Linked DNA regions of Arabidopsis thaliana. The protein of the gene in region 2 purifies or fractionates together with the protein of the main gene of each other region. This does not show direct contact. Each region holds a gene or a part of one and is shown on either strand. Other genes may lie near its edges. The genes, in order: ARF1 and ERD2.

Region 1 (4,700 bases), 1.9 Mb from region 2:
TTCCCCCCAAAAATCTTTGGTTTATATGTATGATTGGTTCCTCAACTATATATGGAACGTTTTTGACATATGAAATGATTTGGAAAAGACAGGAATTGGTGAATGCGGAATGTGATAAATGGGCGAGGAAAGGTATAAACATAATGTCAGAGATTAGAGACAACAGAATTGGATACAAAGCAGGAGCATTAAAGGCAGGAATGATGCACAACTATGTGAAACAATGCGAATTCGTCGCCATTTTCGATGCTGATTTTCAGCCTGATCCTGACTTTCTTGAACGAACCATTCCTTTTCTTATTCACAACCATGAAATCTCTCTTGTTCAATGCCGTTGGAAGTTTGGTAAAGTCATATCTTTTTTGAAAAATAATAGTTATTATTTTGTTAAGTCAAATTGGCTAATGGAGAGAATGTGTTACATGTAGTGAATGCAAACGAGTGCTTAATGACAAGAATGCAAGAGATGTCACTAAACTACCATTTTGTGGCTGAGCAAGAATCTGGATCTTCAATACATGCTTTCTTTGGATTCAATGGAACCGCGGGTGTATGGAGAATCGCAGCTTTAAACGAAGCTGGAGGATGGAAAGATCGAACAACCGTAGAAGATATGGATTTAGCAGTAAGAGCTTGTCTTCATGGTTGGAAATTTGTCTATGTCCATGACGTCGAGGTACTACTACTATAACCCTTTTAAACTCAAGCAAAACATAACAAGATTTCATTCAAGACATTATTAAGTAATCTAACATTTCAGGTGAAAAATGAATTGCCAAGTACATTCAAAGCATACAGGTTTCAGCAACATAGATGGTCTTGTGGACCAGCTAATCTATGGAGGAAGATGACAATGGAAATCTTACAGAACAAGAAAGTGTCGGCCTGGAAGAAATTGTATCTCATATACAATTTCTTCTTCATAAGGAAGATTGTAGTACACATCTTCACATTTGTCTTCTACTGTCTGATATTACCAACAACTGTGCTATTCCCTGAGCTCCAAGTTCCTAAATGGGCAACTGTTTATTTTCCTACTACAATCACTATCCTTAACGCAATCGCTACACCTCGGTAACAACATCTCTACTGTTCAAGTAAAACTCTGTTTTCTCATTTCCTAGTATGATAAAAAGTTTGACATATATTGTCTACTGCAGATCACTCCATCTTCTTGTCTTTTGGATCTTATTCGAGAATGTAATGTCGATGCATCGCACAAAAGCGACATTCATCGGGTTACTAGAGGCAGGACGGGTTAACGAATGGGTTGTTACTGAAAAATTAGGTGACACTCTCAAGTCTAAGTTAATAGGTAAAGCTACAACTAAGCTTTATACCAGATTTGGACAAAGGTACTCTTAACTTAAAAACACACACACAATTACAATTTTTAAGCATTTTGAAATGTTGTAACTAATTTTAGTTAACATTTTGCAGACTCAACTGGAGAGAACTCGTTGTTGGATTATATATATTCTTCTGCGGATGTTACGATTTCGCATATGGAGGATCATACTTTTATGTTTATCTGTTTTTACAGTCTTGTGCATTTTTTGTTGCTGGAGTTGGTTATATTGGCACATTTGTTCCAACTGTTTAGATTAGACTTTTGTATTTGAGAGCAAATGTGTTTTTGCTATTTGATTAGACCAAATTAGAGATTGGATCTTGGTTACTTAAACCAAGTTAACTCTTCCAATATTCATACTCAAAATGTAATTTTTTAAATGGTGTTATGATCTTAAAATTTGGTTATCGATCATATTCATACGTAACATTTTATGAATTTGTATTTGCCAATTGTGTTCTAGAAAGAAAATTGAGAGAAACATACAAAAAAAACAAGTCAACGTCAATGATTTAAGATGTTGAAAATGACATGGCGGTTTTGGATTGGTTAGATGCAATCCACGGCCAATGACCCATCACGCATGTAAACCGCGTAAGCACAAGGCCCCTCCACGAAAACATTCGTCGAGGGGTATTCTAGGTATTACCGGTGATAATTTATGTGAATTGACGTTTTTATCCTTTGCCTCTATAAAGATCTTCTTCCGTTTTTGCAATTACGGCGTCGCGCATTTAGCGTTGTTTTGAAGCTCTCTCTTTCAAATTCTGTTCGTCTCTCGCGATCTCTCTCTCTCTCTCAGATAGCTCCGAAACTTTCACGCAGAGGTATTATTGATCTAGATCTGAGCTAAGGCATTCTCAATTTTGATTGTTTCAGTGTGTTCTTAGGTTGGGAATTGAATATTCTTGCTTCGATTTAGGATTTTTCTTATGATGATCCGTTGTATCTTTGGGTAATGCTTTGGATTTCGATGTTTTTGGTTGAAAATTCTGATTTCGATCTGCTGCTGCATCGTTTCAAGTCTGGATCTATGAACATTATCTTCGATTTCACCTTTTTCTCGTTGTAATTGCTTCAATTAGATTCTGAATTCCGCAAGATCTATACGATGAGGTTTTGTAAACGTTGTTGCATCTGTTTCGATCTGCGTTATTCTAATGATTTATAGTCAACATTTGGAGTTCTCGCTGGTGATCTCTCTTTATGTGATATTGATACTCTGTTTCTGTGTGTTAGTTAAGTGAAGCAGGATGGGATTGTCATTCGCCAAGCTTTTTAGCAGGCTTTTTGCCAAGAAGGAGATGAGAATTCTGATGGTTGGTCTTGATGCTGCTGGTAAGACCACCATTTTGTACAAGCTCAAGCTCGGAGAGATTGTAACCACCATTCCCACTATTGGTAAGCTTAAACATCATTTCATAATTCAGTGTTTCAAAAGCTTAGTTCCATCAACTTTGTTCATACCATTCATACAAAATTTTGTCTTCCACCTGCCGTGATGATTAAACTACTACAAACTGTGGACAGGGTTCAATGTGGAGACTGTGGAGTACAAGAACATCAGTTTCACAGTGTGGGATGTCGGCGGTCAGGATAAGGTATAAGATTATCCAACTCTAAAGCATTAAGAATTCTTTTTTTTTTGCATCACTACCTGGGGATCTTTTTCCTACTGTGTCTTGGTATTATTGTTGATGAACATAGAATTACACAAACTCACATGTCGCAAAACCTCCACTTCTTGTTGTCAGATCCGTCCCTTGTGGAGGCATTACTTCCAGAACACCCAAGGTCTTATCTTTGTGGTGGACAGCAATGACAGAGACCGTGTTGTTGAGGCTAGAGATGAATTGCACCGAATGTTGAATGAGGTCTGTATCAAGTGTTATATCTTTGCCTGTTGTATTGAATTCTTCATGTTTAGATGATTCAGTAAACTGTTTGTCGGGGTTTTACAGGACGAGCTGCGTGATGCTGTTCTGCTCGTATTTGCTAACAAGCAGGATCTCCCAAATGCTATGAATGCAGCTGAGATCACGGATAAGCTTGGTCTCCACTCTCTCCGTCAGCGTCACTGGTAAATAAAAACATTATAATCTCCCCTGCTTCCCTCATGTTGATTTGTTCTCCTGCACATAACGTTTCTTATGATATAGTTCCAAAGATTTATCACCTCTCTGATTGATTTTATGTCTACGAACTCTCTCCAGGTACATCCAGAGCACATGTGCCACTTCAGGCGAGGGGCTTTACGAAGGTCTTGACTGGTTGTCCAACAACATTGCCGGCAAGGTAAATTATCACAAACAACAATTTTGATTTGTGGATCAGTATTTTGAAGCAAATCGTGATTCTTGTTTCTGTGTTCTTGTTACTGGTTGTGCAGGCGTAGAGGGAAAGTTCGTGGTGGAGTTGATTTGCTGAGCAAATCTGGATGCAGGGGCAAACATTATCTGAATTTTTTTTTTGGTTTCCGTTTTCGTTATTGTTCTGCTTTTTTTTTTGGGATATGTCGATGGATTTTGTGATTGTACGTAGAACTTAGAAAAAAACTACCTTTTATATAGTTTTGGTAAAACTGTAATCGAAGATTTCACCTACTGCTTTCGTGGTTTTGGTCACATTTTACTTGTGCACTTTGATTCATATGTTGGAATGCGGTTTCGTTGGCACCTGCTACACGAAACTTGATGATTTTGCTAGTATTTGTCATATGAATCAAGTAGAGGAAAGCCATGACCAGTAGGCGAAATGCTAGAGTGTGGCAGAAGAGGAATGAGTAGACAATTTAATCATAAATCCACTTGTTTGAAAAAAAAGTTAACATTCAAAATTCTTTGCTGGCATCCTCTAATCCCTTTAATATTTCCAAATTCTCGCACTTTTTGAACACCACATTCATTTTTGTCAGAATATTGCGTTCTTAATTTGTCTAGAATAAGCACACTAAAACTAATAATTATCTTAACAACCATGGAATAACATAAATTATCTGTTTTTCTTTATAATATTTTTGTAGAATTGTAGGTTAATGAAATGTATAAATTGTGATTCTAAGAGTATATATGAATAGTACAATTGTACGGTTGGAACTATTTTGCGGATTACTGTTCAAAATTAATGTGTTTAAAGGTCACTGATTTACTTTCTTATTCTGCCAGCCATTAAGGGAACGTTAATCATCATTTTGACTAGAGTGATAGTTGCAAGGACGATATTAAATACAGTATTTGATAAGCAATTAAGGAAAATAAAAGAAACAGAAACAGAAACAGAAGATTTGAGTTTATTGAAGAAGGAATTTAGAGTGATTGGAGTTTTAATAAGTTTTGAGATGATTTTGGTG
Region 2 (5,431 bases):
TGAAGTTGAGTCTTACTTATATATCATTGTTTTATTGCAGGTTTTCTTGAAGCAGCATCTTACAGGTCTTGTATTCGACTCGGGCTTTTCTGGAGAAGGTTTGTTTGTTTTCTAATGCCGTTCACAAATCGCATCTATGTTTGTATTCCTCTGTTAGTATGTTTGTAAAATGATTGGATTCATGGTTGAAGCAGAGACAGCTGTAGCAAACACAGTGGCTGAGGCTGCCACAGAGGAGAAGATGACGATCATGGACCAGGAAGATGATGAAACAGAGAAGGCTCCTGTGAAAAGAAAGAAGTCAAAGAAAGAGAAACGCAGTAGAGAAATAGTCTTTGAGGGTGAAGACGATGAGGAGAATGAAGACGAGATTGAGAAGGCTCCGGTCAAAACAAAAAAGTCAAAGAAAGAGAAACGCAGTAGAGAAAAAGTCTCTGAAGGTGAAGAGAAAGACGAGCTAAGAAGCAAGAAGACACGAGAGCACAAGAAGAAGACCAAGATAGTGAAACACAATCAAGAAGACTAGGTTTAAGTTTTGAAGACACATTGTTAACTTGGCTCTGATCTGAGCTACAGTTTTGAACTAAACACTCGCACAAAAGAAACAGAGTTTGTGTGTTATCTATAAAGACTAGTTTTGATAAAACGATGCCTCTTCTCAATGTCTAAAATCGTCGGGAAAGTTACAATGTGCATTAAAGACTAAAAAAAAAACACATTTTAAACAACAATCCTGCATCATTCAATTTTCAACTCATTGTTAGAAAGAGGGAGGACCCAAATGTTAACCATGTCTTTCTTTTCTAATGTCACCATTGCTGTAACTTCCTGGATTTTGATACTATTGCAAAAAAATTCGGGTTCTTTTCAAGCCGGAAGCTTAAGTTTGGTGTTGGTTTTCCAGCTACAACAAAATCAAAAAGGATCCAAAGTCAGTAACATGATCAGTAACTATAAAGAGAATATTATTCAGACTGGTGAGGTTACTTTACCTTATGTAGTAGTAGTAGAAGAAATCCGCATAGAGAGCTGTTTGGACAAGACCAGACACACAAGCTGGAAAATGGATTTACGTAAAACATTAGCATTGAGGAAAAACAAATGGTTAAAATGCATTTAGTGCTTCTTTGTTGAAACATTACCAATCCATCTAGTGAAATGATCTTCTGTGAAATAGCGATAGATCCAGTTGATAATATAGAGTCCCCGATACGCCCTGCATGTTAATCATTGCCCATGTGAGTGCATACAGAATACTTACTCAATTTTGCACATTGAAATATTGTGCACTGGACACAAAGGTATGCATCAGAACCAAATGCATAGCAAGATGTAAAGCAGTCTGATTTCCTTTATAGAAAAAAATATAGTTCAGCTCAGCTTCCAGACGCATTAACATTAAACGGAAAACAATGTCTGGACTTTAGAAATATGCACTGATTTTTAAACACCACAATGACACTGGAGAGCGATTCTCATTGATCAAGTTAACAAGTGCATGAGCAGTGAAAGACACAGTATATATATAAGATAAACCAATTCTAAAAACAAACCCAACAGAGAAGCCAGTGGAGATCAAGTGAGCAAACGCATATGTCTGGTTAGAATTACGTACCCGAGAAAGACAACATATTGCCCAGTCAAATTGTCGACATTCCCACTTCTTTGTAGCAGAACCAACTGGGGAAGGATAGCAACTGCCTCTAAGTAGATAGAAAACGCCCAGAACACCTGAAATGGTTTGGAATGCACAGAATTAACATATTGCACAATGATTCTGGCTATCAACACAGAGAGGCCACAATGCTGCAAAAATACTTAAAGAGTGAAGGCAGTTTGCAAAGATCAGATCTTTACCAAGAGCATATACTGGAAAAATACATATGAAGGTAGTAAGGGAAAACGATCTTAGTGAAGTGCATATAAGGAGTCACTACAGTTTCTTATGACAAGATAATCAAAGAACACAATGGCCAGAAAAGTAACAGCGAGATACAGATGACACTAATCCATGGGGCACCTTATGGAACATAGGTAGGTAGGACACAGAAGATTCCATGAATGGAAGCAAACAAACCTTTCACGATGCAACAGTTTGATATTCAAAGAGTTTCTCAAAACAATCAGCGAGTGAGAGGCTACATAGGTAGTACAACGTTTAAACAAGCAAAAATAAAACTATAAACGCCGGACTCCTAATTGGTTCTGGAAGGAGTTATGTTCAGTTTCATTTACATAGACGATATTCTATTCTACACTAGCCAAGATAGTTACCAAATCCAAATGATATAAGAAGAAGGAACCGAATGAATCAAATGAATAAATAAACCAAAAACAAGATTACACAACATATGCATGTCTTCTAACAACAAGTATTCGCTTTCCTAGTCTCTACAACCTAAAAACACAAAAGCAATGTGAAATTCATATGAAAATACCTCTTGAACTGTGAATTTTTCATTCAGGATAAGTCCCAGTACAAAACACGCTAACACAACATACTGATGACGAAATGTGTCCAGGTCCTTATCGTATGACCTCCTCACAAGTGGATGCCTACGCATACACCAAACGATAGCCAAAGAGCTGGCAATGAAGACAATCTTCATGATGCTGTTGTACAGAGATACATAATCCGTAAACAGATCCAAGTACCGAGTCAAGAACACAAGCGCATAGAGCTCTTGAGTCTTGAGAGAGATTCCTAGCCAACAAAATCCAAAAGTCAACAGCAACAATGTTAGGAGCTGCACAATCTATGAGAAAATCATGAGCATCTACAAGCATTTTCCATTCCGTGTAGCAATTTTCCGTTAAACCTAATGCAATTTAGGGGTGAGAGATCTCACTCGTTTAGAAATTCCATAGTGGTTTCGAAGATTGAGATTTCACAACTATTTTGACTTGCAATTTCAATCTACCAACTCGGATTCGCCTCGAAATCGATAAATAGACCTCAACAGGATTCAAATAAGATTGCATTTGAAAGCTATGGAAAGGAAAACAAAAGGTCAAAGCAAAATGCGATTGTTTCGTCTACGAGCTCGTCTTCAAAATATACACAACACATTTCATGAAAGAGAGAGAGAGAGAGAGAACTCACCAGCGCAAGATTTCGTCGCGTAGATTTTGAGAAGAAGGATTAAGACACTGATCAAGTGACTCATATCGCCAGCAAATCTAAAGATATTCATGGTTGACCAGTAATCGATAGAGACTCACCGATTCCAAAATTTTCCGGGAAAATCCAAAAGAAGAAGAGAAAACGAAATCGAACGAATTTTCTCTCTTCAAATCGAGAGAGAAACGAAGGAAGAGAGAGAAAGAGAGGCAAGGTGCAGCACGTTTCAGGTTTTGCAGAAACTCGTTGAGAGGAGACGATGACGTGGCAATCTGGAACGGTCTTTCTTCTCTAACGTGTGTGCTTACTTATTTCCTTAAAACTGCAAATTAGTCCTTCATTATTCGATTAATTATCGAAGTTTCCCTAAATAATTACCAAAAGAGAGCGTTTTAATTTTCAAAAGTGGAGAGGTGGTGTTATCTGGTACGTCGCACCTTGGTAAACTAGAAAGCGCCAGCTATCGGTGGGTCTATATTGCATCATATTAAGCCACGTGTTAATAGAACAGTGATGTGGCAGCTTCGTACGCGACATGGTGTGGTGTTTAACTTCAATTTTAATTCCTCGTGTTATCCACGTGTTTTGTATTTGAGAAAAACAGTTAGAATGGACCGGTTAAGAGTTGGTTATTAATAGATATGGGCCTTCTGTTATTATTTATATGGGCTTTAGCTCTCTGTGATAGATTAATACCCAATGTCATACCATGAACATATGCAAACATGTTTTAAAATAAAAAATTGAATGTTGATTTTTTTTTTTTTTTTTTTTTGGTTATGGAACGAAATAGAAGTGTTTACAAACTAATGTGATTGCAAATATGTTTTTTTTTTTGGGTGTATAATAATATTTGTTCTACGGTTGTTTTGGGTTAAACAGTATAGGATTTTGAGATTTTTGTGCTAGCTGTTGTCCTGACTCCTTATGATCTAACTCATTTTTTTTTTTCTTTTTTGCAAAGATGATTGAAATGTATAGTTTAGTCCATAAAATTATAAAATGATATTCAATGCTTCGCTTCAACGTTCAAGACTTCGTTTTTCTAGTGAACTAATAGACAACCATGAAAATGATGTATGAACGTCATTTAAAACAAGAATAAATTGTATGAACGTCATGACTCATGAATATAGAGGACACGAGAAATTAAACATGTTTGTTTTTTCTTTATCGTTAGTCAAAGAAAACCTACAGTATCACTAATAATACTCTTACGTTAGACTCCGTGGTCGGTCCGCTTGTTGCCTGGAGTGTTCGACTTTATCGATTATAGAGAAGTTCTATATATAATTTTATTTAATGGCGTATTTTAAAAAATCAACTATACCATTTTCAATTGTGTATAGACTATTGACTATAGATTATAGAATTTTTCAATGGCCACTAATCAAACAGTTCTGAAATCAAACAAATAGCTTTTCTGACTACATTGAAACAGTTAAAAATAGATAACATCACGTGACGGGATTATCTATGCTACAATGAAACTACGGCAATCGACAAAGTCGCTGCTTTTGTAATTTCATGTTGTGATGATGATTAAGGTGGTTCAGACGTGTGGTTTTATAGGAAACCGACTTTGTTTACATTTACAATAATTTCTTACAATTTTTAGAAATTTTGAACGTTTTACGATGAACACAATAATTTCACATGTAAATGTAAATAGTATCAAACAAAATCATTTTGTAAATTGTAAGCGCAAATACCAAACAAAAATGAAATGAACATGTAATGTAATATGGTATTTTTGCTTATAAAAGAAGCATATAATGTAACAAAGAAAGTTTTTACTACACATTGCAAAAATATGAAATAGTTTGATGGTAAACTGATCACATAGAAAAATGTTTGAATTTAGTTGGGTTAGCTTTAGTGGATTCTTTAGTTGTAATTTGCAAAACGCAAAACTTGGTTAAAGAAAGTGAACTTCCCTTTAGCTTAACATTTTTCTACACGCGCCTTCAATGTTTCAGCGACACGTTGCACTTGCATCTTTCCAGAGTCAACGCTTCACTAGCATAGGTTTCTTCTTAGAGCAAAGAGATGTTTATTGTCTGATAATAAAATTTACTCATTGTAACATGTGTTTTAATTATTGGAATCTTTAATAGTGTAATGTAACATTTAATTTCATACAAAAAAACGTATAATTTTAAAACATATACTATTATTACTTCATGTTAACTTATAAAAACTTCGTTGTAAAACTTTGGAAAAATCGATAGCTAAAACTTGTTTTTGTTATATTATAGTAATTGGAACAATCGGCAAGTTTAACATACAAAACACTAATAATCGAAAAAA

Evidence for each region.
Region 1: the proteins of ERD2 (region 2) and ARF1 purify together in Arabidopsis thaliana (affinity purification with western blotting, with the first as the bait; one study listed by BioGRID). This does not show direct contact.

The regions. Positions count from the first base shown.
Region 1 is NC_003070.9:8,334,628-8,339,327, forward strand, and holds ARF1 (ADP-ribosylation factor 1), read left to right. Parts: upstream 1-1,965; 5' UTR 1,966-2,178; intron 2,179-2,590; 5' UTR 2,591-2,604; coding exon 2,605-2,752; intron 2,753-2,881; coding exon 2,882-2,952; intron 2,953-3,105; coding exon 3,106-3,225; intron 3,226-3,312; coding exon 3,313-3,431; intron 3,432-3,564; coding exon 3,565-3,646; intron 3,647-3,740; coding exon 3,741-3,746; 3' UTR 3,747-4,200; downstream 4,201-4,700. Other genes in the region: CSLA03 (cellulose synthase-like A3), read left to right, coding at 93-345, 429-676, 761-1,074, 1,161-1,355, 1,441-1,603. UniProt on the Arabidopsis thaliana protein: GTP-binding protein involved in protein trafficking; may modulate vesicle budding and uncoating within the Golgi apparatus.
Region 2 is NC_003070.9:10,257,713-10,263,143, forward strand, and holds ERD2 (ER lumen protein retaining receptor family protein), read right to left. Parts: upstream 3,521-5,431; 5' UTR 3,195-3,520; coding exon 3,104-3,194; intron 3,097-3,103; exon of another isoform or gene 2,850-3,096; intron 2,705-2,849; coding exon 2,439-2,704; intron 1,732-2,438; coding exon 1,616-1,731; intron 1,217-1,615; coding exon 1,143-1,216; intron 1,057-1,142; coding exon 993-1,056; intron 905-992; coding exon 868-904; 3' UTR 536-867; downstream 1-535. Other genes in the region: AT1G29320 (Transducin/WD40 repeat-like superfamily protein), read left to right, coding at 41-98, 192-526. UniProt on the Arabidopsis thaliana protein: Required for the retention of luminal endoplasmic reticulum proteins. Determines the specificity of the luminal ER protein retention system. Also required for normal vesicular traffic through the Golgi. This receptor recognizes H-D-E-L.